Lytechinus pictus: one gene and its partners. The protein of the gene in region 1 purifies or fractionates together with the protein of each later gene. This does not show direct contact. Links are inferred from orthologs where the notes say so. Each region holds a gene or a part of one and is shown on either strand. Other genes may lie near its edges.

Evidence for each region. Proteins that work in one complex are often made in the same cells at the same time.
Region 2: the proteins of exocyst complex component 3-like (region 1) and exocyst complex component 5-like purify together in Homo sapiens (affinity purification with mass spectrometry; 7 studies listed by BioGRID and IntAct, counting the BioPlex papers as one, with this or other methods). This does not show direct contact. The link is inferred for Lytechinus pictus from reciprocal best matches to the Homo sapiens genes EXOC3 and EXOC5.
Region 3: the proteins of exocyst complex component 3-like (region 1) and exocyst complex component 8-like purify together in Homo sapiens (affinity purification with mass spectrometry; 5 studies listed by BioGRID and IntAct, counting the BioPlex papers as one, with this or other methods). This does not show direct contact. The link is inferred for Lytechinus pictus from reciprocal best matches to the Homo sapiens genes EXOC3 and EXOC8.

Annotation. Positions count from the first base shown.
Region 1 is NC_087245.1:22,446,138-22,453,124, reverse strand, and holds the start of exocyst complex component 3-like, read right to left. Parts: upstream 3,014-6,987; 5' UTR 2,884-3,013; coding exon 2,806-2,883; intron 1-2,805. UniProt on the Homo sapiens protein: Component of the exocyst complex involved in the docking of exocytic vesicles with fusion sites on the plasma membrane.
Region 2 is NC_087251.1:13,169,329-13,176,480, forward strand, and holds the start of exocyst complex component 5-like, read left to right. Parts: upstream 1-4,129; 5' UTR 4,130-4,261; coding exon 4,262-4,285; intron 4,286-7,152. Other genes in the region: neurofilament medium polypeptide-like, read left to right, coding at 1-81, 436-1,002. UniProt on the Homo sapiens protein: Component of the exocyst complex involved in the docking of exocytic vesicles with fusion sites on the plasma membrane.
Region 3 is NC_087258.1:23,503,477-23,510,801, reverse strand, and holds the start of exocyst complex component 8-like, read left to right. Parts: upstream 1-4,302; 5' UTR 4,303-4,368; coding exon 4,369-4,423; intron 4,424-7,325. UniProt on the Homo sapiens protein: Component of the exocyst complex involved in the docking of exocytic vesicles with fusion sites on the plasma membrane.

The DNA of each region.
Region 1 (6,987 bases):
CCGGAGCAGGTGTGAAATAATTTGTCTGCTGATAGACTGAAGGTACATGTATGTACATTAAAACCCATTTCATTTTTCTGAGAAAATGACATTTTTCAATTCACGATACATGGGAATCTGCTCACATATGATATCACAAATAAAAAATTCTAATAAATTTTTAAATCTTTGATTGATTTTCCCCAAACCTTCACCAATATTTTTCATTACTTCTTTCTGTTATATTCACAATAAACTTTTTGTTGGGTGAACCTCCCCTTTAAAGCGACCTTTCATTGACAAATAATGGGGAAATCAAGGCTAATCTCAGAACAGAGAAGGAATTCAAGCCTTTCACTTGGCTGCATGCCTGGGAGTTTTATGTAATAGACGCCGTTATGTCTGGGAGGTCGACTGTATAGCTGAGCAATAGTTAGTAGACTAACCGACCAGACGTAAACTGCGTGTTTTCACTTTGAAACATGTAATTTCACAGAGGTTATTAGCAATCAAGAGACCTGCTAAGAGTCTAGGAATTGGGATTGTTGGAAACTAGAACTGCGATGACCCGAAGTAACGATCGCGAGTTCGGTCAAATTTAAGCTGTCCTGACTTTTACACATTAGTCCGATTGGCTCTCATGACCGACGGATTATCTTATGTAAGTCAACTGGCCTTTTGCAAATTTCGTATTGATTCAATTTCCCCCTGATTTGTCAATTGCAACGTTACGCGACGCTCGCGTCCGTAACGTTGGGGAAGTACAATAAGAAACAAGATGGCGGCGTAAACATCGGGCAAGTCTCTTCCGTCTTTTCACGATATTTTTCTCATTTTTTTTATGAATTCTTGTTTAAAAATAACAACGAGAGCGTAGAAATGTCGGAAATGAAGTTTTATCCCATGTACATGATTTAGAGCTAGATCTTTTAGAAGGAAAGTAGAAATCTCGGGGGTGAAAGTTTCAGGTTTTGGGGTCCTTCGTGTAGGTGAATAGGAAGGACTCCCTGGCTTCATTGAGAGTAAGCCTACGTTAGTAAATGATTTTTACTCTCAAGAAGCCGCCTGGCTAAGTCAGACTCACTGATCTGTGATTCGTGCTGGATGGCAACACTGAGGGAAAAACAAAGATGAAACACTGTCTCCAAAGTTACGGACGCTAGCGTCGCGTAACGTTGGGGAAGTACAATAAGAAACAAGATGGCGGTGTAAACATCGGGCAAGTCTCTTCCGTCTTTTCACAATATTTTATTCATTTTTTCATGAATTCTTGTTTAAAAATAAAACCGAGAGCGTAGAAATGTCGGAAATGAAGTTTTATCCCATGTACATGATTTATGGCTAGATGTTTTAGAAGGAAAGTAGAAATCTTGGGGGCGAAAGTTTCAGATTTTTTGGCGGTACACGCAGATGAATAGGAAGGAGTCCCTGGCTTCATTGAGAGTAAGCATACGTTAGTAAATGATTTTTACTCTCAAGAAGCCTCCTGGCTACCCAAGACTACCCCAGGCTACCTTGGCTCAGGCCTGGATTTTGAAATTAAAAAAGAGCCCTGGCCCACTCACACTATTGCGAGGTTAGTATATATGCTTTACGAACCTCGCACAACCAACGTGTTTTTGTAGTGGATTTTAGAGTTGTCGTTAACATCGCTTCATAACGTGAATGATATTAGCCGAAACCATTCCGCTACTCACCAGGGCTTTTTCTGGTAGAAAGCGTTCCTTTATCAATTTTTAACATATTTTTTAATTTTAAAAAAAAAAAGAGCAAAATCGCTTACCTCCGCCTGGAAAGTGGCTTCGCACGTCTCTTCCACGGAAATAAAAGGAAGGTCGTTGGTGGCGCTAATACAGTTCGCAACCTTAATTCAGCTTGGTGGTATTTTTTAAACTAGATTCATGATTTATTGTATGCGCAATTCCAATAATTGTTTGATAAAATAGAGACCCCAATAAATGCAATAACTTAAAAAACATACTTTTTTATTATTTTTGCTGACGATAATACTTTTTGGAAAATATTCAAAACGATGACAAATTAAACAAAAAATGTAGAAAATTCTATGTACCTTGAACAAAGCCCCGCAAGTGCTACCGTTCGTTTGTCAATTAACGTTCCACCAAAGTCTTTACAGTAAAAAGATTGGAAACTTTGCCGACTTCGCGTAATGCTTTGCATCGATTTACGTGTAAGATAATTTCTGTGTCTAGTCTTTCAATTGTAGTGTCTTTGATATGAAGATAAATCGCGCGCCCTCTCTCGCTCATTAGACGAAAAATTTGAGAGCTAGAAAGGTGGCTTTCGTATTTTGTCAACGAGAAGAAAAATCAACGCTTGAGTTAAATGACACATTTTGAGGGATATTCATCAAATTATGAGGAATTGACTTCACATCGTTTTGTAAGTTTCGTAGGAGGACTTCATTCTGTAAGTCCTCGTATTAATTTTTCATAAATTAACGTTATTTGTTGAAATAATGCGCCGTGCCTTCAATTATTCTGTAGTCGGCAGCTGAGATGTAGCCGTGGGTGCCCTGGCCTGGAAAATCCCAGTTTTTTAATTGCCATATGTGGAGAAATCATCGTAAAATTGTATATATTATAAAGGATAATCCTACTTTTCAGACCAACGCCATAACTGCTACCCTTGTTTACAACGTGGCACAACCAATGCAAAATATCCAGCGACTAAGCTCATGTGCATTTAGCACTATGCTATCACGAAAATGTGTCAGAAGACTATGCGACCAGTGCACACAAGAATCGCGTGCGCCTGTGATACCTGTGTGCCGATTATGGCTGATACAAAGTTTTCGTGTCTCACCTTTAACATGTTTTCAACACGTTTAGAAGCCGATTCAATGGCATCTATTTCAGCCTTTCCAAAGTCCTCACCAAGCATGATGAATATAGATAAAAATGATAAAAACTGAGAAGAATGACCGCCAGAAATACCCTTTTTATTAGGGTAAATTTACTCGACCCCAAAATTAAAATAGTACACACCCCGATATGGTATCGTAAAAACAGCCTAGTTCGAGAAAAAAAAATGGGGAATAGGGGTAAAAAAATTAGTACATGAGCATTTTTGTATGTTTTGTATTTTCGCTGATATGTTGATTTTCTTTTAGTTCGTGTAGCTGAAAGAAAATTTTACCAAAAGGAAAAAAGAAAAGCTGAATTTTATTGCATTTCATGTACAATCAAATTACCTAATAATATACTAGTAGTCATCAATTACCCGATGACTGGGGTAGAGGTCGATCATATTTTGGGGGCGAGAAACTGGACAAATACAACAATCGGTTGCTTCATATATATATTTTTTACAGTCATTTACAATATTCACTTATGCTCTTCAAACACAGTGACGAATAAGTATCAAAATAAAGGGTAATTATCATGCTTCAAAGTGACTTTATTTTGAAAATAAAAAATCGTTACAGAAAACACTCAGGCGTGTCCTAAGGCCCCTCTCTCTCTCTCTCAAACTGTCAATTTATAAAGTCAAATGAGGGTTTTGCCATTTGTTTTTTATTATTATCATTTTATCATTATCTTAATCCCTCTTGGCTTGAGGTCTTTTACTGGCCTTACTTACACTAACTTCCCTTTGTGTCTGCCTACTCCTTTTCTTTCATCCCCTTCACTAACCTGATTGGTCTTCTCTACTCACTAATGCCCCTTTTGTCTCCTTGTTTCTAGTGTTGCTGTAGCTTGTTTGTGGTCTATATTATGGTTGTTCCACTTTATATGTTTGTCATTTTGCCTCCGACGAAGATTCTGCTAGGATCGAAAGCTTAGGCCCCTTTTTTACTTTCTAATTCGTTTTTTAGGGTTGACTCTGTGCGTTTCATAATATTTCATTGGTTTTTAGTAAAGAATCTTTTAATATTAATTGATCATTAAACAACAAAAATCACTTCTGAAGCAAACTAAGATACCCTGGTGGTGAAATAATTGAGAATTTTCATATTTTCAAAACTTACTGGTCAAAGGTTTAATGTCTCTTTTTTTTTTTTTTTTTTTTCTTCTTACATTTTATCTTTGATAATTCAATTATACCATTCAAAATGATCCTGAAGTTAAAGGGGAATCCAACCCAAATAAAAACTTGTTTTTATAAGAAAAAGAAAAATCAGACAAGTTGATAGGTGAAAGTTTGAACAATATTGGACAAACAACAAGAAAGTTATGAATTTTTAAAAGTTGTAAATATTGGTAATCACTATACCCATGGAGACTTCAAATTGGCCGCATATGGGATGTCATAGTGATGTAAGGCAAGGACTACTCTTCCATGTACTCCAATACATATTATGGCTAAAATGTCATTTTCCCCAAAAGTTTTATTTCAAATTATATTTTTCTTTCATGAGGACATAAAACAATATACTACCTGGATTATAATTAGATTACTGCCCCAGGGGAATGGGTACGTAGAAGAAAACCACAAATCCCTGATAATAAAGTACATGGCTTATGGGAAAGTTGTCCTTGCCCCTTGTCATAATTTACTTACCCAGTTGCCAATTTGAAATCTACATACTATTAGTGATCTCAATTTTAAAGCAGCTATAATTTTCTTATTGCTTGTCCGATTTCTTTCAAACTTTCGCCATTCTGTTTAATTTATTTTTTTCCTTTCCAACACAACATTTTATGGCCAAAGCTGGATTTCCCTTTAAGCATATCGTTTCGGTGAACAAAAATAATAAAAGAGAAAACAATTGTGATAATTGAAATCGAGATGAGACCACAGACATAGAGGACAAGCACATAATACCTTGTAAACAAAAAATGCCATTTCTGTATATATGATTTGATTCTCGATGAGTGTGGGCCTAAATTATTTTTCTTTACAAATGTAAAAATAAATGAATTTGAAATTTGAATTTGAAGTTGATTTCGGAATTTGAAACTATGAATATAAGCCATAACTGCAGGCCTATCACCTATGTGCCAAATATAAAAAAAAACCAATGTCTCACCTTACCTCACTTTCCTTATATTAGAAGTACAGTGGGAGGAGTATTAGAAGGAGTAATAGTAGCAACAGCAGTAGTAGTAGTCAGTGGCGGACCGTGACCCGGAGGAGACAAAGCATTGGAGGGGCACAGCATTGTTCACAAACAATTCAGTGCCCCCCCCCCCCAATGCCTTGTCTCCTCCGGGTCACGGTCCGCCACTGGTAGTAGTAGTAGTAGTAGTAGTAGTAGTAGTAGTAGTAGTAGTAGTAGTAGTAGTAGTAGTAGTAGTAGTAGTAGTAGTAGTAGTAGTAGTAGTAGAAGAAGTAGTAGTATTAGTAGTAGTAGTATAGTAGTAGTAGTAGAAGTAGTAGTAGTAGTATAGTAGTAGTAGTAGTAGTAGTAGTAGTAGTAGTAGTAGTAGTAGTAGTAGTAGTAGTAGTAGTAGTAGTAGTAGTAGTAGTAGTAGTAGTGGTGGTGGTGGTGGTGGTGGTGGTGGTGGTGGTGGTGGTGGTGGTGGTGGTGGTGGTGGTGGTAGTAGTAGTAGTGGTGGTGGTGGTGGTGGTGGTATAGTGCTAGTAGTGGTGGTAGTAGTGGTAGTATAGTATTGGTAGAAGTAGTAGTAGTAGTAGTAGTAGTAGTAGTAGTAGTAGTAGTAGTAGTAGTAGTAGTAGTAGTAGTAGTAGTAGTAGTAGTAGTAGTAGTAGGTATAGTAGTAGTAGTAGTAAGACTACTGTAGTTGTAATAGTAGCCACGGGAGAAGCCAGTAGCAGCAGAAGTATATCTTGATCTCTAATAACAAATTTTACAGAGTAATAGAATAAAATAAAATAGAAAAAAACCTTATGATATTTAGGGACAACTAAAAATTGTTAATAATCAATGGATAGGCGAGTTATGCAGGGGCCACGAAAGCGGGGGTTGGAGCCGGGGGATTAACACCTCTCCCCCACCCCCCCCCCCCCCCTCCGTCCCCGCCCACCAATTTTCAAATTCAGATTTTATACGATACATGTTCAGCCCCCTTATACTTCCTCAAGTCGTTCCATATAGCCCACCACCCATGTTTTGATAAAATCATTTGTATCATGCTTTAATCATTGACAAGAGATATTTCTCTTATTTATGAAGCTAATTTAATCCCGCAAGCTATATCATATCGATATAGCGCCATCATAAAGGCGAAATGTTTCTTTACACTTATTGATGCCCAATTAATCATGGGAACAGAAAAAATATCAGGCAGTACAGAACAACAGAAGTAAGATAAAATAAAGGATATTTCCAAAAATAAACACCGCAATGATTTAGTTTTAAGATTACCAATGTCTATTTTCAACAGTTATTGAAATTCAGTCGAAAATAGTCCATGATATGCGGTTTAGGCCTAGTCTTCGCCAAAAAAATTGTATATCGTTTTCAAAATATCTGCCTATAAACGATAATTTATCTACTCCTTTGTCATAATATAAAAATAATCACTTCCTAATATTAAATATTATCTGTAAAGTCGTTCATATATCGGTATGAAATTATGTGATACAGCATAGGCGGATCCAAGGGGACCTGAGGGGCCACCCCCCCCCCCCCCCCCCCCCCCATGGGCGGAGCAAAAACAATGACAAAAAGGGGGGAAGAAAGAAAAAAAAGAAGGGGAAAGAAAGGAGGAATACGAGTGAATAAAATAAGGTGATGGGAAGACTTGGATAATGTTTAAAAATATCTTTCATGTCACTGCATTAAATTTTCGCTCGCGCTTCGCGCTCGCATTGCCTGTTTGATGAGATATATATCTTGCTCAATATGTAGCTTAAAATATCAAGTTTTGAAGCCAATATGCAAAACATATTTCAGCTCGGACATCTAGCTTTCATTATTTTGTTTGATTTACAAATTGATTTTTTTACGTGCTTTTTAAAATGTCCGTTTTATAGTGTGAATATCAACATTCTCAGCTTGCGCTGTGCGCTCGCGTGATTTGATTTGCCAAGTAGGACTACCTATTGTCGTGTCTTCCATAAGTTCTCAAAATATCATTT
Region 2 (7,152 bases), on another chromosome or scaffold:
AAGAGTACCCTAAAGAGCAATGACGCCAGAAAGGGTACTCCAGGATCTCCAAACAGATCAGCAGGAGCAAAGTCTAAACAGGTAATTAATTAGTCTATTAAAAAGGTATTTTTTCTAAACCTGTAGTGAATAAAACTTTTTACTTTCCTGCAAATAGACAGGTGGATGTGAAAAAATACTAATTAATCTTCTTTCATGAAAATATCAAATTGTAATTCTATTATTCATACTCCTTAAATACCATTCCATAATAATTATTGTGAAGGTTACTACATGATTGGTATATGAAAGCTTTTTATTTCATTTAAATTGATGATTTTCTGTATCAGATTATTACAAAAATTAACCTTGTGAGCTTAATATTGAAGCTGTCTAGTTCCATCTCTTTTAAATCATAATCATGATAAACATAAAATATTCCCTCTTTTTCTTTAGACTACCAACTCTCCTGGAAATTCTGGAAAGTCCAGACAAGCTCCTGGAACCAAGACTGGAGTAGGGGCGTCGGCCATCAGCAGGAAAACCACCACACCCCCACGAAAGGCGACTCCACCCAAACCAGCCCAACCCTCAAAAGAAACCTCAAAAGCACAACCACCGACCAAGAAGAAGGTGGAGGAGAAATCAACTACTGAAAAGGAAGATCAAGCCAAGATGGATGAAGAGAAGGAAGAGAAGAAGATGGAGGAAAAGAAAATGGAGAAGGATAAGGAGGCCCAAGGAGAGGCATCTGCAGAGAAAGAGACTCCTGAGAATGAAGAGGGTGAGAAGGATGAAGATGAAAGTGATAACAAAGATGGGATGGAGAAAGAGGAAAAAACGGAGGAGAAGTCCGAAGCAGAGATGAAGTCTCTGAGTGGTACAGAACCAACATCGGAGGACATGTCAGCAGAGAGTGAAGTGAAAGAAGAGGTGAAGGAGGAAGAAGGTAAAGTGGAAGAATATGGAAAGGAGATTGAGATGAAACCCAACGAGGATCAAGAGCAAGGAACTTTATCATGATGAGCTGCATAAAGAATTGGAAATTATTTATTAAAAAAAACTATGGAAAGCCATCACAGCCATAATTCACCATCTAGAATATATGTGTTGCTGAGTGACGTAACTTTCAGAGAGGTGTATTGCTCCTGAAATGACAAACTATGTAACTCAAAATTGAAATATTCAAGAAAGTTACAAAGCATTGATGCCATAACACCAGAAATAACGAGTTGTTTCTTTGGGGTGATGTTGTAGCTTCATTTTGTAAGATAGAGAGAGAGACCTTAGACAGTATATATCTTTTGGTGTTCAGTTGGTCATCTGTTTCTTCACAATAAATAAGTGATTTTGAGATAAGAGGTCTATTAACCCAAGCAATACTATGCCTTATCAATTCAACCAATCAGCATGCTTTGGGTTTTTTTTTTTTTTTTTACAAAGTGCCATTACATCTGCCTTTGATTGACAAAATATTACCTATCTAGCCTTTCTTAGTTCGGATTGATATTTGAATATCATAATACAGTATAAAAACCTCAAACAATTGCTGATTCTTGGACAAGAATCTGTGTTCAGGTTAACAATATCCTTGTATGTTTAACCTAAATGATAGATATGATTATCCATATCCTCCTGTTTTGAGTAATTGTGTTGTAAAGATGTATACAATGCACAGATATTAATCCGTCAGATATATATCTTACAAGTGATTCTAGTTATTATGTTGTGATTTTACTTATTCACTCAAAGAAAATATGTTTATATCTTTCTCTTACTCTTACTCTCTCTCTTTCCCTCCTTCATTCATTATGGGTAGTGCAAATAGATACCTTTCTGAATTTTGTTAGATGCATATATTTTTTAATTTTTCACATATTCATCTTGACCATCTCCATAGAGTTATGATGTTTATATATATTGCTTTCTGTTCTATGAATGCATATTTGTTGTTATTTTGTGCATTATGACAAATTAATTTTCTAAAGACAATATATCCATTATTGGATTTAGTAAAAAAATAACAGATCTTGAAAATAATAACAGAGGGATTCCAAAATTAATTTTCTTGTAGAGGCATGTCTCAATTTAAAAATAAAAATGCCTCGCCTGGATCCAAGCAGCAGCTTGTCATTGTTCAAAACTCACCTACACCCGACATCTGGATTTATTTTTAATACATGAAATTTAGAGTGTAGACTTTCAACCTGTCTTCATCATTGGATATCAATAAAAGAGATTTAAAGCCTTTAGGCCTATATATTCAGAATCTTTTTTTTTTATGTCACAAATAGATACATTTTAAAGATAGTATTTGATTTGGGATCTTGAATAATACAACTTGTAATCCGTATGTAATTCTTGATAAAGTTAAGCTTTATCTAGAAATTCTGTATGATTGTCATACAAGTCGTCAATATGATTCAAGTGTCCTTAACTCATGAAATACAAAGTATTTTTATGATCTGCCAGAAATGTGATTTTTATTTGTAAAAACTGTTGATATGGAGTATACACTGTCATGTATCACTATGTTAAACTGTGATGCAAATTTATATTTTGTACATGAAAATTTACACATGCACCAATTTGAAATTGATGATATATTTTTATTGCCTTATACACTCATCATGATCATGGCCATTTTTCAAATTATTTCAAATCAAATCTAATTTGATAATGTATGTTATGCTTTGATCACAATTTTGTAATGTTGTATCATACTACATGAACTTTGAATTTTAACTTATTGTACTTTGTAAATAAACAACATGAATAAAAAAAATGTTAGTGTTTCATTGATGATGAGCTAGTTGCATGACAACTAAAACAGCAAATATTTATATGAAAAGTGTGAAAGAGTCAGAGAGAGAGAGAGAGAGGGGGGGGGGGAGAGAAACAACATGTGGACTATCTACCAAGTACAGTATATAAGTACATAAATATGTATGTATATGTACATGTATACTTTTTTTTAGAATGTACATGTATACTTGGTAGATAGTCCACATGTTTGATCAATATCAATAAAAATATGGTAGAAACTTTCATGCTTATATATTCTTTTATTACTTTGTTTTATTCTATAAATTAGAGAAGGGGGGGATAGGTAGTGAGGTTTATAGAGGAAGGGTGCAGATGAATGCATAGAGAAAAATCTAGAAAGACAGAAGGACATCGACAGGGGGGGGGGGCTACAGCTAGAGAAGAAAACTAGAGGGAAATGGCTAATTGAGAAAGAGACGGACACTAACAGAGAGAGACGGGTCTATAAGGCAGCATGTATAATAGGCCTGTACGAGTCAAGGTGGTAAAAAGGGTCATTTAAAATATGCTTATTCTCAGTAATGAATTATGGCAGGGCCCTGGGAATGATTTTTTTACTAGGGGTGTCGATGTAAATTTGAAAAAAAAGTTATATAACAAAACGAAGGTCATTTTGTCGCACAGAAATTTGACAAGGAAAAAAATAAAAACAAAAAGGGTTTTCACTACAAATTAAATGAAAAACATAAATTATTCCTTCTTTTTCTTTAGACTACCAATTCTCCTGGAAAGATCATCTAGGTCCAGAGAATTTGAAAAGCAATTAAAAAAAAGAAAAAATAAAGGCTTCTCGACAACATGAAGGTCATTTTGTCCAAGAGAAATTTGACAAGCAAAAAAAAAAAAAAAAGGGGGCCGGGGGCTCACTACTAATTATTTTTCCACACCTACCAGAATTCCTGGGGAGTGTTTCATCAACATTTTCATCCGACAAGTTGTCAGATCTGACATCTTTCTCTGATGTTGATTGGCTGAGAGGTACTGTTACTATGGTAACTGTCGGATAAAATGGGACTTGTCGGATAAAACGTCCGACAAGTACTTTCATGAAACGCCCTCCCGGGGGTGCTTCCTACATGTATGGAGAATAAAACACCCAGCACCCCTTACGAAAATCTTGGGGGTGCTTCACCCCCGCACCCCCGCTTCCCAGGGCCATGAATTATGGGCACACTATACCACAGGGTATCCTAATTTGTAGATAAATCCCGAATAAATATACTAGGTCTGAACCCGGGGGCATGAAAGGATCAGACAGACCACTTGACCTCGACTCACAGTAATCAGTAGTGTCTCCCTCTTTTGGGCAAAGCTTTATAATTATAGTGCTCCCCTCGCATAAAATGTCTTCCGGGATTCTGCTTGCATTTGGGAGTGAGAAGCAGACGCGAAAATCAGTCGTTGAAAACATCATTAATTCTTCGTCTTACCTCTAACTTGTTAAATCTAAAAGAAGATGTCTTCTTTAAAAGAATTTGCTGTAAGTTGACCTTTTGATGAAGTAAAAAGTATAATATTTGTCTTGCATTTCTAGGTTCGAGTTCCGAACAGTGAAGTCTGTCAGTGTGACGTTTTTTTGTTGTTTGTAATCAATATGATTGAAATGAATAAGGTACCGTCGTATCTAATGAATGAAACAGTGACAGTGAGTTTGGTGATCCAGTCAGTGGACTGTATCATGGTAACTAATAGCATAAGACTATAGGCCTAACTAATTACTAATCGAGTCAGAATTAGAATGCCCAAACACTCCAAACTTAGTTAACAACAATTTGGGAGTAATTTAATTTTGGCTTAATTGTTTAGGGAACCTCTTGTCCATTTGTACGCAAGCACTTGTGAAGACAGTTGTGTACCATACCACTATTCACTAACAAGTATTGCGAGGTTCCATGCACTACGATTCGTGTCTACGCAGTGGATTTTTTAGTTGTCGGTTAACATTGCTTCATAACAGTTTAACACAAATAATGTGAGCCGAAACTCATTCCGTTGGCGTTACTCACCAGGGCTTTTTCTGGTGAAAAGTGTTCCATTTTCAATTTTAAAATAAAAAAGAGCAAAATTGCTTACCTCGGCCTGGAAAGTGGCTTCGCGTGTCTCTTCGACGGAAATAAAAGGAAGGTCGTTGGTGGCGCTAGTACAATTCACAACCTTAATTCAGCTTGGCGGCATTTTTTAGACTAGATTCTTGATTCATTGTATATGCGCAATTCCAATGATTGTTTGATAAAATAGAGACACCAATATTCAATAAATGCAATAACTTATAAAACATACTTTTTATATTATTTTGCTGACGATAATACTTTTTGGAAAATATTCAAAGCGACAATTAAACAAAAAATATAGAAAATTCTATGTACCTTGAATGAAGCCCCGCAAGTGCTACCATTCGTTTGTCATTAACGTTCTACCAAAGTCTTTACAGTAAAAAGATTGGACACTTTGCCGACTTACTTTGTGTAACGCTTTGCATCGATTTACGTGTAAAATAGTTTTTGTGCTTAGTCTTTCCCTTGTAGTGTCTTTGATATGAAGATAAATCGTGCGACCTCTTTAGCTCATTAGACGCAAATTTGGGAAATCGCAAGCTCGCTCCGTATTTTGTCAACGAGAAGAAAATTATACTCTTAAATGACGCTATTTGAGGGATATTCATCATATTAGGGGGAATTGACTTTACATCGTTTGGTAAGTTTCGTAGGAGGACTTGATTCTGTAAATCCTCTTATGAAATTTGCGGGAGTTTGTTGCAATTTTGCATGCGCCGTGCCTTCAATTTTCCTGTACACGGCGGCAGTAATGCACCCATGGGTGGTTGTGTACAAGTGAATAATAATGTTCTTAATCGATCGCTAGAGGGTATTCATTTGTCTCGCAATCTACTATGGTCAACAAATTTGTGATCACTCTCGCAAAAAGTGTTCACTAGCTTTCTAGGAAATTTGTGATCACTCTCGCAAAAAGTGTTCACTAGCTTACAAGTTCACGAGCTTTCGAGTGCCGCTGCAACTCTTTATCAAGTGAAGAAAATTATCTTACTAACCTTCCCAAAATGTGGCCAAGTTAATGTGCAGTTTATGCAGTGGGCACGTCATGGTCTAGTGGTTCTGACTCTCACCTTTCAAACAGAAGTTTGTGGGTTCGAATCGTAGCCATGACGTGTTTTCCTTCAGCAAGAAATTTATCCACACTGTGCTGCACACGGCCCAGGTGAGGTTAATGGGTACCGGCAAGAAGTAATTCCTCAAAAAGCTGTGCGCACCAGAATCAGTAGACTAGCTTAGCCGGGGTAATATAGGAGTGCCTTGAGCACCTAGCAAGGTGGATATGTGCGCTATACAAATCCTATATTATTATGTCTAAAATAAGGATACAAGATTCTGCTTCCTTATTTTGTAGCTTGGTACAAGAGTCTATTATACCCCCAAACTGGCCAACTTGATCTATAAACTTCTCTGAGATAATAAAACATTTCTGAAAGAGAAAAAAATTACTCAGAAGGTCAAAAAACAAAAATTCCTTTCTAATTTCACCAGGCTTGTTGCACACGTGTTGTCTGTAATATGGTGGATGGCTGTTGATAATGACAATAAATTGAGGGCAGTATTGCAGAAATTTATTTAAAGATGTTAAAGAAAATTACAATGTTTCAACTTACCCCGCGTTCCAACTAACCCCGGTCTCCCCTACTGTCCATAAGGTACACTCTTGCTTGGGTCAGGAAAAGGTGACGTCACTATAAAAATTAAGATTCAATGCATTGCATGCTCTTAGTAAATGCAGACGCGCAGGGCTAACCGGATAAATGCACATTACCATTAATCGATATTCTCCCCAATCATTTAACACAGGGTTTACCCTCCAAAAATAAAAAGTTATATTGTACAACTTTTTGAAATGAGATCACGTGGCACCAATCTAGCCAATCACAGCTCGTATTTTACTACCATTATTTATCTATATAATGCAGTAGCAGCCAAATAGCTAATGTTCAGAGCTTAAACACTGGTGTCTTCACTCTCGTGCCTTAGAAGTTTTAGTATTCAGGGCCAGCTCATCTCTATCATCTTAAGACTACTGGCCTTTGGAGAGTAAAAGAAAAAATTCAAATACAACCTTACTTTCCATTTAGCCTGGTAGATGTTCTCGTCAAGAAGATATCAGTCAGATCGCTATAAACATGCCTGGAAAAGTTATAGTTCTGAGATTGAGATAAAGTGTGTGCAGGTGACCCACTACCATGAATGTTTATATACCTATGTCCTTAAAGGGGCTTTCACAATCGCTCTTGCGATCGTTTGCGGTCATTTGGTCACAATATATGTTGCACACAATCGCAAC
Region 3 (7,325 bases), on another chromosome or scaffold:
AGTGAGCATTGGTGAGTACGATTGATTTTGGTTTCAAAAAACCAAAAAACATTTCTGAATTCTTTCTAATACAGTCTTTTAATTGCCAAATGTTGCCAGATATGGATAAGTGTACAAATTACACAAACTTAGTGAGAAAAGTGAAGAAATTTTGACTTACCTTGTCGGGTTGAGTCGCTCGCGAGGGGTTGGATCAATGTAAACATGGAAAACTGCATATCGCACGAAAGAGAAAATAGTTTAGGTTAATGATATGCCGAGATTTTGGAAAACGACCCAATCACTTTTAAATGAGAATGGTATCAATTCGCACATGTCGAATCACCGATAGCTAGAGAAGCACCGCGGCTGCAGCAAAATCCTCCGCACACTACGTACAAAATATAGTACGAGCGCGAGAGCGCCATCTTGTGGTGAATGACGATGCCTATTTACAACCAACTGCGGTTTTCCACCGATCTCCGCACCTCAGAGGAAGGGAATCTACAAGTACAACTTACCATCAAAGGAGTACAGACAAACACCCCCCCCCCCCCCAACACACAAACACTCAACTCGCGTAATGATGTGCTGAATCACCTGCATGATTTACCCGTCAATTAAGCTCATATGTAATCACAACACCTCGAACATGAAAACGTGAAATTCAAATGCTACATTAGTGCCTAAAAATCGCACACGCCGAGATCTTCGCCTACACGTGATCGATTATTTGAAGTAATTTTTATGTTTTGGGCAAATTTTAAGATTTTAACAGTGAAAGGTTAAGGTAAAAGAGATAATTTCAAGTTCTCACCCAATCTCTATTCTTGATTTTCCCTCTTTCTTTTAGTTCTATTCACAATGGGCCGGCTAAAAAGTGTGCCGAATACAGCGTATTTCGTCGGGGCCGGAGTAGAGTCAGCCAACAATAAGCTAGCCAACAAGTACAGCAAGCCAGCCAACAGTTCCAGCCAACAATATCGCGATGTAAGATAGATCAGATACAGGATTTTGCGCACGAAGAGAAGCGTGCATTCTTGTACAAATCAAACAAACGGGGTCAGGGTGGGGTTTCCCTTCTTTCAATTTGTAAAGAAAAACAACGGGCTAGTGCTTTAATTTTAGTAGCCCACACCCCTATATACTCTATGTGTTTTCGTATATTGAGGAGTAAATTTCAACTAAAGTCCTCTTTATAAACTACAATTGGAAGATTGCTCCTGAAATATATTTTGGGTGTGTGTAGGGGGGTTTCCCTTCTTTCAATTTGTAAAGAAAAACAATGGGCTAGTGCTTTAGTTTTAGTAGCCCACACCCCTATATACTCTATGTTTTTTCGTGTATTGAGGAGTAAATTTCAACCAAACGTCCTCTTTATAAAACACAATTCGAAGATTGCTCCTGAAATATATTTTTGGTGTGTGGAGGGGGGTTTCCCTTCTTTCAATTTGTAAAGAAAAACAAGGGGCTAGTGCCTTCGTTTTAGTAGCCCACGCTCATATACATTCCTATATATTCCACGTTTTTATATATATTGAGGAATAAATTTGAACTAAAAGTCCTCTTTATAAAATACAATTGGAAGATTGCTCCTGAAATTTATTTTGGGTGTGTGTAGGGGGGTTTCCCTTCTTTCAATTTGTGAAGAAACACAACGGGCTAGTGCTTTAATTTTAGTAGCCCACACCCCTATATATTCCACGTTTTTATATATATTGAGGAGTAAATTTGAACTAAAAGTCCTCTTTATAAAATACAATTGGAAGATTGCTCCTGAAATATATTTTGGGTGTGTAGAGGGGGGTTTCCCTTCTTTCAATTTGTAAAGAAAAACAAGGGGCTAGTGCCTTCGTTTTAGTAGCCCACGCTCATATACATTCCTATATATTCCACGTTTTTATATATATTGAGGAATAAATTTCAACTAAAAGTCCTCTTTATTAAATACAATTGGAAGATTGCTCCTGAAATATATTTTGGGTGTGTGTAGGGGGGTTTCCCTTATTTCAATTTGTAAAGAAAAACAACGGGCTAGTGCTTTAGTTTTAGTAGCCCACACCCCTATATACTCTATGTTTTTTCGTATATTGAGGAGTAAATTTCAACAAAAAGTCCTCTTTATAAATACAATTGGAAGATTGCTCCTGAAATATATTTTGGGTGTGTAGAGGGGGGTTTCCCTTCTTTCAATTTGTAAAGAAAAACAACGGGCTAGTGCTTTAGTTTTAGTAGCCCTTACCCCTATATACTCTATGTTTTTATGTATATTGAGGAGTAATTTTCAACAAAAAGTCCTCTTTATAAAATACAATTGAAAGATTGCTCCTGAAATATATTTTGGGTGTGTGTAGGGGGGTTTCCCTTCTTTCAATTTGGCTACTAAAACTAAAACACTAGCCTGTTGTTTTTCTTTACAAATTGAAAGAAGGGAAACCCCCCTACACACACCCAAAATATGTTTCAGGAGCAATCTTCCAATTGTATTTTATAAAGAGGACTTTTAGTTGAAATTTACTCCTCAATATACGAAAACACATAGAGTATATAGGGGTGTGGGCTACTAAAACTAAAGCACTAGCCCGTTGTTTTTCTTTACAAATTGAAAGAAGGGAAACCCCCCTACACACACCCAAAATATATTTCAGGAGCAATCTTCCAATTGTATTTTATAAAGAGGACTTTTAGTTGAAATTTACTCCTCAATATACGAAAACACATAGAGTATATAGGGGTGTGGGCTACTAAAACTAAAACACTAGCCCGTTGTTTTTCTTTACAAATTGAAAGAAGGGAAACCCCCCTACACACACCCAAAATATATTTCAGGAGCAATCTTCCAATTGTATTTTATAAAGAGGACTTTTAGTTGAAATTTACTCCTCAATATACGAAAACACATAGAGTATATAGGGGTGTGGGCTACTAAAACTAAAACACTAGCCTGTTGTTTTTCTTTACAAATTGAAAGAAGGGAAACCCCCCTACACACACCCAAAATATATTTCAGGAGCAATCTTCCAATTGTATTTTATAAAGAGGACTTTTAGTTGAAATTTACTCCTCAATATACGAAAACACATAGAGTATATAGGAGTGTGGGCTACTAAAACTAAAACACTAGCCTGTTGTTTTTCTTTACAAATTGAAAGAAGGGAAACCCCCCTACACACACCCAAAATATGTTTCAGGAGCAATCTTCCAATTGTATTTTATAAAGAGGACTTTTAGTTGAAATTTACTCCTCAATATACGAAAACACATAGAGTATATAGGGGTGTGGGCTACTAAAACTAAAGCACTAGCCCGTTGTTTTTCTTTACAAATTGAAAGAAGGGAAACCCCCCTACACACACCCAAAATATATTTCAGGAGCAATCTTCCAATTGTATTTTATAAAGAGGACTTTTAGTTGAAATTTACTCCTCAATATACGAAAACACATAGAGTATATAGGGGTGTGGGCTACTAAAACTAAAGCACTAGCCCGTTGTTTTTCTTTACAAATTGAAAGAAGGGAAACCCCCCTACACACACCCAAAATATATTTCAGGAGCAATCTTCCAATTGTATTTTATAAAGAGGACTTTTAGTTGAAATTTACTCCTCAATATACGAAAACACATAGAGTATATAGGGGTGTGGGCTACTAAAACTAAAACACTAGCCTGTTGTTTTTCTTTACAAATTGAAAGAAGGGAAACCCCCCTACACACACCCAAAATATATTTCAGGAGCAATCTTCCAATTGTATTTTATAAAGAGGACTTTTAGTTGAAATTTACTCCTCAATATACGAAAACACATAGAGTATATAGGGGTGTGGGCTACTAAAACTAAAACACTAGCCCGTTGATTTTTGGCTCGAATGAATATCTATGGCCTGCCACTAGTGATTAGGTCCGTGTAGCCCTGACCCCGTTTGTTTGATTTGTACAAGAATGCACGCCTCTCTTCGTGCGCAAAATCCTGTATCTGATCTATCTTATATCGCGATATTGTTGGCTGGAACTGTTGGCTGGCTTGCTGTTGGCTGGCTTATTGTTGGCTCACTTGACATAGGCTTCGTCGGGACAACAAAGGCCAAAGGGAAGTCAATAATAATTAGTAGTCTAGCTATCTATACTGTTTCCCTTTTTGTAAGAAATAAAATGCAAATACTAAAGGAGTCAAATGGAAAATTATATCAAATACTAAGATTCTATCGAATTTGAATTACGAGTAGATCTAGAGTACTGTATTTTTTATATTTAGTTTAAATATATATTTTTTTATATCTGATCAGCATAATTAAAAAAAGGTCTAACAATTTAGTGTTTGCGTGATAAAGACTACCGGTACATGTAACATACATACTTGTCCGGCCCTAAAAAGGGGGTAAGGAGGAAGATGGCAGAACAAATTGTCAACAAATTGTCGAAAGATAATTTCAACGCAGACGAATGTAAGTATAACGTATTAATCGGTAAATTAGGTTACCTTTTCGCTCGGATGATCTTGGTTTGGTACTCAAATAAAAAGAATGAATGAGTGACTCCACCTCAAACTCGGTCTAGCACAGAGGAGACGGCATTACAGTTTCTGTCGTGTGCAATTTTTAATGAATGCAAGTGAATAGGCGATATCATGTTTCCATGACGTATGCATTATAATACTACATGAGCTAAATCGCCGGATCCGTGAGCTGAGTTGCACCGATCTGTATAGTTCAGTCAGCAAAATACCGCGATTGGCACATCAAGCTAACTTGAAGAGTATGCCACTCTAGGCGACACCGCAATACTTACCCGTGTTAATAAAGTGGGACTCCGCTCACGCGCGTTTGGGCCTCCCTAGCTTAGAACTAAGCACTAATATCACCTTAAATTAAAAACTAAATCTACAAGGTAGGCCTATGTATAATCTATTTAGTAATTTGATAATGTTTAAACGGTACTCACCAGTTCTTTTGATGTATTTTCTCCAGAATTCCCACGGATTTGTCCCAAATCTTGCGACAAACCACGTCGCGGTAGACAGCTGTACATTTTTTTTTATTTATAAATAAAGCGCCCCTTACGATAGTTGTTAACAACGCGGCCAAATCGTTAGGTTTTTTGCACTGTGTCCAAGGCTTTTTTATTTTGTTTGATTTTTTATTTTTTAATAAATATTTTGTTCAATAGCGATTTTTACGTCAAATATTAAATTTATATCACAAAATATTTTTTAATTGTAGAAATATACATAATATTATGCAATAATTTATTCTATATATATTTTATAATAAAATTTATAATTGTTGCGGTCTTTAAAAAAGGATAGTCGATTGATCAGGTGATGACCACACGTATCACTAACCCAGAGAGCTCCCGCCCGCGCAGCGGGCGGGAGCCCAGAAGCTTACCGTGTATTTTACCATTGCCACCGGACTAGGGTGATTTATGGTCTAAATATTTCTCCAAATGAATTGTGAAAACGGAAAGTATACAATTACCACGATTATATGGATGAAGGTCTAACGAGTGGCAGATTCCTGACATCTGGGCACAGTCTGGAACCTCAAAAAAACGAAAAGTTCTCTCCTTCTACCCAGTCTCGATCGGCCATTTTGTTACGATTTTTAACAAAATGGCCGATCGAGACGGGGTAGAAGGAGAGAACTTTTCGTTTTTTTGAGGTTCCAGACTGTGCCCAGATGTCAGGAATCTGCCACTCGTTGGACCTTCATCCATATAATCGTGGTAATTGTATACTTTCCGTTTTCACAATTCATTTGGAGAAATATTTAGACCATAAATCACCCTAGTCCGGTGGCAATGGTAAAATACACGGTAAGCTTCTGGGCTCCCGCCCGCTGCACGGGCGGGAGCTCTCTGGGTTAACGTATCACGTGATCTGAAAATCAGCTTCATACCGCTTTGATCGCACTCGACGGTGACCGGACTGACTGCCAAAAAAAGATCGAAAAATGACTCAAATGTAAGTTTCCCTTTATTTTATTAAATTCAAATTAGGAATAGGAATATATTCAATGGGCAATCTTTTAATAAATGATAAACAAACGAGGACAAAACTCATATTTTGGGAGTAATATCATACTTGGGTGCAGGAAACAGTACGGTTAGAAGTTCTAACCTGTTTTTAACGCATTGTCGCCTATGAGGTCCATACATGCTAATGTTTGGACCTCATTGGTACTAGGAGTGGAGTATGCTACGTTTGGAGTGGCTCGAAGTATTATTAATTGATTTTTAATTTATTTGTGAAGAAGTAGAGTAAAGTGCCCTAATATCGGACACCCAGTCTGGCTGGTCCCAGTTAACATAACATGGACCAGGTTAAGCACCTGGCCTGGCCCTGGGGCCCGTTTCTCAACACCGTCATAAGTCTAAGTCTAACTTCTTGACTAAATCGAAGATAGTGAGCTACTTGTCCGCTAACCGTTTCACGAAGCCCTCTTTGCCAAGATCGGGGACAACAACCTCACTAAATATTTATGACACCTCCGAACCTGTCATAACTTATTTCGTAATGACATAGTGACATCACGTGGGTAGACTATGACAGGCAAAAGTGCCTCGAAATTTGAAAATTATAATCTTACGTAATCATTCATAGAAGTTGAAATTACATTGCAAAACAGGTGAGATACATGTAGATCATTCAAGACAATAATAATTGTAATGCACAGAAAGTTTAAAAACTGTTGGTAAAACGCAACAAAACCATTCATTTTGAAAAAGTAAAATAATTGAATCGATAAAGATTCTACCATGTCAGGTCATCCATAACTGGACTCGTATTCGTTGTTTTCAGACCCTTATCAACATTTTGATAAATTCTATCTCTAATTTATGCAAAGAATTTGTCAAATCGTGTGTTTCGGTATATAAAATTATAAAAATTTATATGTTAAACTATATTTTGATGATGTTTGGAACCATAAATAAACGTATAATTATTATTATTTTACAAAGAAAACAATTGTTGTTTACTTTCGTAAGCTATCAAAATTTAGTATCCCGGGGATACCCATCTCAATGTCCACATGTGATTTTTTAGTCATTAAATGAATTATTCATAATTTCATTTTCTCAGCAATTGAATGCTCCAGTCTTCATGGTTTAAGTATGCATGGTACATATTTTGCCTCTGCTATCATTTTGATTAGATGTATTTCCAAATTAATCACAATAATTGCAGTTTTATCGTATTTTTGCTTTAAAAAATAATGCTATTTTATGACTAAGGCTACGTCTCGTCTGCTCTTTCTACCGATATTATCGATATCAAGGGATACTAGTTAGGAAGCCCTTCGTGAAACGGTAAAAAATTGTAAGATTGGAACTAACTCCGTGGTCGGT